Zea mays: one gene and its partner. The protein of the gene in region 1 binds, or shares a complex with, the protein of each later gene. Links are inferred from orthologs where the notes say so. Each region holds a gene or a part of one and is shown on either strand. Other genes may lie near its edges.

What was found.
Region 2: the proteins of uncharacterized LOC100280033 (region 1) and uncharacterized protein LOC100280192 are in contact, whole or in part, in a cryo-EM structure (PDB 8K20), measured with the Arabidopsis thaliana proteins. The link is inferred for Zea mays from reciprocal best matches to the Arabidopsis thaliana genes AT5G26110 and AT4G34412. Residues at the interface, in NP_001331017.1 of Arabidopsis thaliana: Thr27, Phe28, Ala29, Arg31, Asn58, Ala61, Arg62, Thr65, Arg68, Lys69, Leu70, Gly71, Val72, Cys73, Val76, Leu77, Tyr78, Ala79, Val80, Asp81, Thr82, Leu83, Leu84, Gln151; in NP_680763.2 of Arabidopsis thaliana: Asp7, Phe51, Leu54, Ala55, Gln58, Ile62, Arg66, Lys147, Thr149, Gln151, Glu152, Ile155, Ser156, Asp160, Val163, Cys164, Ala167, Ala168, Asp170, Ala171, Leu172.

Annotation. Positions count from the first base shown.
Region 1 is NC_050100.1:34,851,034-34,854,783, reverse strand, and holds the start of uncharacterized LOC100280033, read right to left. Parts: upstream 2,478-3,750; 5' UTR 2,252-2,477; intron 1-2,251.
Region 2 is NC_050098.1:19,279,920-19,283,669, reverse strand, and holds the start of uncharacterized protein LOC100280192, read left to right. Parts: upstream 1-1,164; 5' UTR 1,165-1,260; coding exon 1,261-1,331; intron 1,332-1,471; coding exon 1,472-1,538; intron 1,539-1,638; coding exon 1,639-1,761; intron 1,762-1,849; coding exon 1,850-1,933; intron 1,934-3,693; coding exon 3,694-3,750. Other genes in the region: Probable zinc metalloprotease EGY2, chloroplastic, read right to left, coding at 1-81, 279-374, 660-729, 821-984.

The sequences.
Region 1 (3,750 bases):
AGGTAATAGCCACATCAACGAGGGCCTTTGCATTACGGTGCACTCGGATAGGGAGACCAGCCCATGGCCTTGACGCGTCAGTCTTTTGTAACCAAAGCCACCTGGCACGTAGGGCCCATCCAAACATCTCCAGGTTGAGAATACCCAGACCACCATACTTGAGAGGCCGCTGGACAGCTTCCCAAGACACGAGACAGTTACCTCCATTTGCATCACCTTGCCCCTTCCAAAGAAAGCCTCGTCTCCTCTTATCGATTGCCTTAAAAACCCATTTAGGTAGTTCTAAAGCAAGCATAAGATAGATAGGGACAGAAGACAACACTGTCTTAACCATGACAAGACGACCAGCCCGGCTGAGAAGATTAGCTTTCCATCCTGGAAGTTTATCAGCAACTTTATCAACAAACGGCAGGAGATCAGAGTTAGCAAGCCTACGGATTGATAGAGGAATCCCCAAGTAAGTGCAGGGAAAATTTTTTGTAGCACATGGTAACAAGGCAGAAATGGTGGTCAGCTCATTCGCTCCACATTGAATGGGTGTAACAGAACTTTTGGAGATGTTCGTTTTTAACCCAGTAGCATGACCAAAGATGTCTAAAATGCTGATAATTGCTGAGATATCCTGATGAGAGGGCCGCATGAACAAAACAACATCGTCAGCATAGAAGGAGATACAATGTTTGGCATGTTGATTTGCAATCGGCTGCAGCATATGTTCCCTGAAAGCATAACTGACCATAGCATTCAAAGCCTCCATGACAAGGATAAACAGCATGGGGGACAAAGGATCGCCTTGCCGAAGACCCCTATGATGCAGAATGTATTCCCTAGGCTCGCCATTGACAAGGATCCGTGTAGAGGAAGTGCAAAGCAACAGACTAATAAGGTTGCACCAGCTTCGACCAAAACCCAAGTGTTGTAACATGTCAAGCAGGAATGGCTCTCTTTCCATCTATAATAGCTTCGTGTTTACAGGCCAAGCAGTGCATTTTGCTTCCAGGTTCAAACTGCAGAAGCAAAGCACCGGGACTAGTAAGTCCTTTCTTTAATATTGATGAATAATCTCATAAGGTATAACATCATCTCTTTCTTTAATATTGAATAATCATTATACAGTTTGTCAATTCCAATTAATAGTGGAACTTCTTTGTATATACGGTTATTGCATATCTCTACTATCTATTAAGTCAATAGTGTAGACCACATGCACAACCATGCCCCCACTCATGTCCTCCTTGTGCCCCCCCCCCCCTAGCTCCCTCGGAAACCCGCTGCCCCCTAGCCCACGATTGATCCCCTCCCTCCACGCCACCACCTCGCGTGGCCCAGTACCTCGCCCCCGTCCTTGATACCGCCACCCCGTGACCCATCTGAGATCGGCTCTTCCATCGGTCTCGGCCTCGACGCCACCCCTAAACTATGATGCCCTTCCACAGCCAGCCGCAATGCCCATCCACGAGGTCGCCGCAGCCGCCCCTCACCGCTCGCAGTCAACCCCCACCCATATGCGGCAGAGCCTGGCGTCACGGAGGCCAGCGAGGGCCCTAGGGCAGGGCCAGCCATCCGCTCTCCGCAAGCATGACCTTTCGGCCAGATCTGCACGGTTGGGCCGACGACCGGTTCTTCCCCCTCGTTCCTCCGCCCAGCGGGTGGTGGGTGCCTCAAAAATTCTAGCTGGTCGCGAGGATCTATTTGGTGAGTTGGGAGCCATAGCTTCGATTTGGGGGTTTTCCTTTGGTCTCAGAGTGCAATTCTGTATAAAAGGAGAGGAAGTTTAGGGCATGTTAAAGGGAAAAACTAAGGAAATCATGTTTATTGATAGGTCACCTGAAAAAAGGACATGAACCTAGAATCTGTTATAATTTTTTGATGTGTCTGGATAGAATTGGGAAGCTTCACGGACCGCTGAGTTAGAGTGGGAACCTATGTTGCCCTGATACGGGGATACAGATACGGATACGCGATACGCCGATACCCCGATACGCCATTTCTCAAAAAATACGGATACGGCGATACGCAATATATATTATAAATAAAATTAAATGTTGAAATGTCTGAAATGGATCAATGCCATAGTAATCTTAATAAGTTAATCATGGATTTACTAGTACCAAGAACATTTAATGCTGCTAGCATCGGTAGATGCACACGTTGCCATGGGATATTGGGATCTAACAAGAACAGAGAATGGGACAACCGGACAAGTACAGCGTCAGGCAGGGCAGATGGGAGATGTCGGCAGATCACAAACCTCAGTACCTCACGACGGCAGACGGGCTGGCTGACGGCGCGACCTCAGAGCTGGCGGCGGCGGACGCGGCCACGGATCGGCGACGGCTGGCGGCGCGCAGGGAAGCGCGGCTGAGCGGGTCTCCAAGCGGTGACGGGCTGGCGGCGCGCAGGTTTCCAAGGATCTCCAATCGGTGACGGGCTGACGGCTGGCGGCGCGCAGGAGCCAGGAGAAGCCGGACTGGCGGCGCGCAGGAGATGGTGCGCGTGCGCCGTGGGGAGAAGCAGTGCGCAGGGGAAATCAGGGTATCACGCACGTGTCCAATTGTATCCGTCTTTTTTTATTTATTTAAATTCATAGCCTCGGATACGTATCCGGAAGTATCGGAGGAGTATCCGTATCTGATACGGCATCCGACATCATACGTAAATTTTGAGAAGTATTCGTGCATCATAGGTGGAAACTATATCGAAAACTTCTGATATTTTTCGATTGATAGTCTCTCCACTGTGTTGGAAAGCCTTTTGAAGCATTTGGTTACTGGCATTATAGGAGATCATATACATGAACATCCCAACCTGCTCTTCGACGTTAACTCCTCATGTGTCACGTAACAAACCCTCTCTTCTAAGGAAATCTGATGTGGCTCTAAATATTTCTGGCTTCATTCGAAACTCGACTTGCACCAACTCTCATGCCCTTCGAGAATCTCCTTAACCTTCTAGGCACCAGAGAGAGGAGGTATGGATAGACCTTTTCTTTTTAGAGAGGAATGGAAGTACAGCAGGGAGAAGAATAAAGAAAAACTCTGCATTGTCTTCTTCTTCCTCCAACAAAAACTGTATAGCTAGCTCTTCCCAATAACCCATATCTAGAGAAATCGAGAAACTACATAAGCAACACATAATCATAGCAAAAGGCATGACAAGCATTTCTGTTCGAGACAATACCGAATGTTCTCGCAAAGATTTTGAACAAGGCTATGCAGGTAAACATCATACACTTGTAAAATTTAACCAGCTGAATCAATATGCCACAGCAAAATGGTTTATACCTATATAAATTAGAACAAACTAAAGTTACAATTATCATTTGAAAGAAATATAAAATTATCAAAATCAAAAGTACTAGCATCAGCACAAACAATGAGACAATAGATAAGGAAACATTGAACAACCATGGCAAGTACTAACGAGACAAACAATTGATCACTAATTAATCACCCTCATCCCTCTTCGGCAACTATTTGATAGATCTATATGCCCAGAGACATCTATTCCGCAATTCTATATGCTCAGAGACACCAACAGCAACAAAGATACCCCATGCCACTTTCCCCACTGGTTTACAGTTAACTAACTAGCTATTACCAACACTGAATCCATAGTTGCAAGAGAAAGTATAGAGCACAGAGCAGATCGTACAGAGCACAGAGCAGATCGTACAGAGCATGAGTTCAGCAAACCTTGTACTGGATCTTTTGGTTCTGTAGCACGAGCGCGACACCGGCATTCAACAAA
Region 2 (3,750 bases), on another chromosome or scaffold:
AGTAGCATCTGCATCCATGTCCTGGACCGTGTCGCCGGAGCTCAGCAGTGCTGCTTCTGCATTCGTGGTTTCATCTTTCTTCTGGCGAGTCATGGGAAAGCTAAATATATAATTCAGTTACAAATTCATACAGCAAGGACTAACGGGCAGAATGGAAGTACGCTGCTTTAAGCACAGGGCAAATCAAGACCAGCACAAAAGGAAGCATATTTTCCATAATATATAATATATTAATATAATGCAGGCTCGATTTGACAAGCTGTAAGCAAGAAGTGTACATTGTCTAAACTCGAGTCATTTTCTCCCGGCCCATTTGCTTCTGCAACATTATAAACTGAAGGTGATGAAGCATCATCTCCAAACTCTTTCTTATCCTGGAAAGAAAGATCAATCATTTAATCCCCGAATTACTGCAAGATTCTGGCTTCGTGTTTGATTCTAGATTTTATTAAGAGGTGCGTTTCTATACTCTTAGAGAAAAACTCAATGGGTCATGTGTGAGTTGCAAATGAGCAAATCCGAGCCTTGACTTATCAACCATGCAAATGATTTGGTTGCGCGGAAATGTGATACTTGGCACTTCAAAATGTAATGCGATACATTGCTCATACGAGGCTGCCGATTTCAAGAAGCTGAAGGAGGGGAAAGCTAGTATGTACCTCCTCGTCGCCATTGCCCTCGGGCTCGGTCTCAGTCGTCGCTTGGCACGCAACCTTTCGACTCCTCAGCCTTCATAAAAGGAGTGAAAACAAACTAATTAGATTAGCTTGCTCAGATGAATGTTCCCTTGGCACACGCAAAACCAAGAAAAGCAGCGGACCTGTGCCCGGTAATCGGGAGGCAGCGGAGCGCGAGCGTGATTCTGCTGGCGCGTCCCACGCACCCACTCCTCGCCGGCACGGTGGTAGAAGCGAGCAGGAGACAGTGGCAGCATCCGTACGCTGCGGCAGCCGCCTGCGGCGGCGGCAACAGCAAGGAAGTCATGGCGGGGCAGGCGACGGTGAGAGTGGCGGAGAGGAGAGCGCGCGCGGCGCGGTCTTATCCCATTCTCGGATTCTCCATCTCATTGAAGGGAAACAGAAATTCTTTTCTGCGGTGACGATTTCACGCTGCATCAATCGTAAAGCCTGGACCACTTATGTAGTTTTCTCCTTTGGCAGGGGCATTTTTGAAATTGGTCGTGAGCCGCTGCCGCACACGGCGAGAGGAATAGGGTTGCTCCCCCCGTTGCCGACTCGCCGCCGCATCGCCGCGAGCGTCATGAAGACCTTCCCGCTGTCCAGGGGAAGCACCATCTCCCTAGCCCTCTTCTCCGACGTCTCCAACAGCCGGTACGGACCTGCTTATGCATCCTTTCCTCTTCTAACATCGCCGCATGGGCCGCTGTGGCCGCCAATTGGACCTCGTCTGCTTTCCATCGATGAAATGCGCAGGGGATGGACTCGCTGAGATTCCTGGTTTTGATGTTCAGGGAGCTCCTGGACTTGATGCAGTCAGGGAAGCTGGAGCCGGCGGTCGCTCTCCTCAACGCGTCACTGGTTCGTTGCCATTTGCATGTTTGCATATGCTGCGCTGGTAGTTTCCTGAGTGTGTGCATCATAGTGTTTGTGGCTCGTTGTCCATGCTCGTGGATTTCAGGTGCCGGATGTGTTCCCTATCCTCGCGGCAGCGCTTAAGGCGCTGTTGTCCAAGACTAGGGAGTCACTGACCACAAGGACTCTGCACTCTGAGCTCGTCTACAACTACTCGGGGTCCAAACATGTGATTGATCTAGCTGCCGTTGGTGCTTTTGCATTACGAGTTGGTCCAGTACAGTGTTTGACAGTTTGTCTGTGATAATTGGTTTCAGATAACAGAGTCCCTGAAGCGCTGTGGGATCTCTGATAATACAACTTACATCCTTGCTGCTTGTTTTGATGCTTCCGACGAGGAGGTATGATTTATGATGATAGTTTCACTGAGTTACTGTTTGGATCCATCAATTGCATGCTATTCTGATAATTGACCGTGTGTTTGGTTCATAAATTTGTGACCTTGAGCTGGCTGATATTGGACGATAGTTGAAGTGTTAATGGATCCAGAGATCATGCTCTACAGTCTACACCAAATCAGATTTAAATGGATTTGCAATATGTTAATCACCCTGCTTAAAAATGAGTTACAAATTACCCCTCATGTGCTTCTACTTAATTCCTTACTACGAAAAATAAAACAGGAAGTGTTTCTACCATTCGTAATTTCTTGCTCCAGAAACCCGGTGCTACTACTTTACACTCTATTTACTGAGCCTTCAGTTGAGTGCTTATGGTATTGAGTTGAAAATTTTCAACTAACTTTGAGCTTCTATGTTTCTGAAGCTTTGTTTTATTCATTGCCATCTGTTACCATAGTTGCAAACACTTACACTTTTTAGATCGATAATAGTTCAAATGATTTCTCCCCTCTGTTTCAAAGATGCCGCTGAGGCATCCAGGCGACAACTTGCCTTGGCCCTTGGGGCCTAGTCACTCCTTGTCGCCTTTAAAACCATGGTTCTCCCTCTATTCTTGAAAATGTAAATAACTAAGGCCCTGTTTGGAAGCAACCTAGTTTTTAAGAATCCAGTTTCTAGAAACTGGTTTATAAAAAAAAACTAGTTAATGGTGTTTGGAACCACCTCAGTTTTCATAAACTGGTTTTAGCTAGAGGAGGCTAGCTTCTTGGTTTTTAAGAAACTGGGAATCTAGTTTCTATAAACTGGTATGTTTGGAACCACCTCAGTTTTCATAAACCAGTTTCTTAAAAACTGGGTGCTTCAAACAGGTCCTAAACAAAAAGGGAACAGTTTAAAAATCTTTTTTGCTTACAATTCATAACCGAGGTCTTCATAACACATGCACTCCTTTTTTTTCCTTGAACCATGTTCCCCATTTTTCATTTCATAAACGGAAACAGTTCAGGCATTGCAGAAGCAGGCTAAAAAACAGAACTAGGTTAGAACGGCGGGTAGCCATTGAGGTCTAGCTAAACCTGCGTCAGGAAACTAGAGCTAGTCCTATTAGACACAGTTTTGAACATGCATCAAGACTGCCTAACAAGTTCAGCAGACACCCGGCGGCAGACTTGAAACCCAGAAGAACTAAAGAAGCTTCAACTACTCACTGGTGCCATTGGTTTCTCCAGTCGTCTCTTGTTCAACTCCTGCCTCAGCACCAGTTATCTGTAGCAGCTGAGGTTGCGCACTTGAACCATCTTGGTCTGGAAGGCCACTCTTAGCAGAATTCTGACTCCCTCCAGCACGTTTTCTCCATGAAGCCATTCTTGTGTAAAAACCTGCCCAGCATACCAGATAAGAGAAAACAAGACAGAGTCTCACATGGGTGTTTGATCAACCTTTATTCGAACAGGCTGATTTCTCCTCCTAAGGGCTGGTTTGGTGGCCAGGAAATTTGGGGGATCCACGGGGGAGGAATTACTTTCTTATTCAATTTTGAATAGGAAGGGGATTCCTTCCCCATGGATCGTCTTCAATTCGGCAATTCACTGGTCACCAAATCAGTCCTAAGGCCTAGTTTGGAAACCAAAATCCCCTAGGGATCCTTGCATTTTCCTAGGGTGAGAAATCCTAGGGACATTATTTGTACAAGATATTTAGTTATATCGTAACGTGGCAGCTATGAAGGAAATTCTAATGTGAAAATCGTAACGTGGCAGATGAAGGCAGTGGAGAAGCTCATCAGTGGCACCGAGATTGATCTCACAGAACTGGAA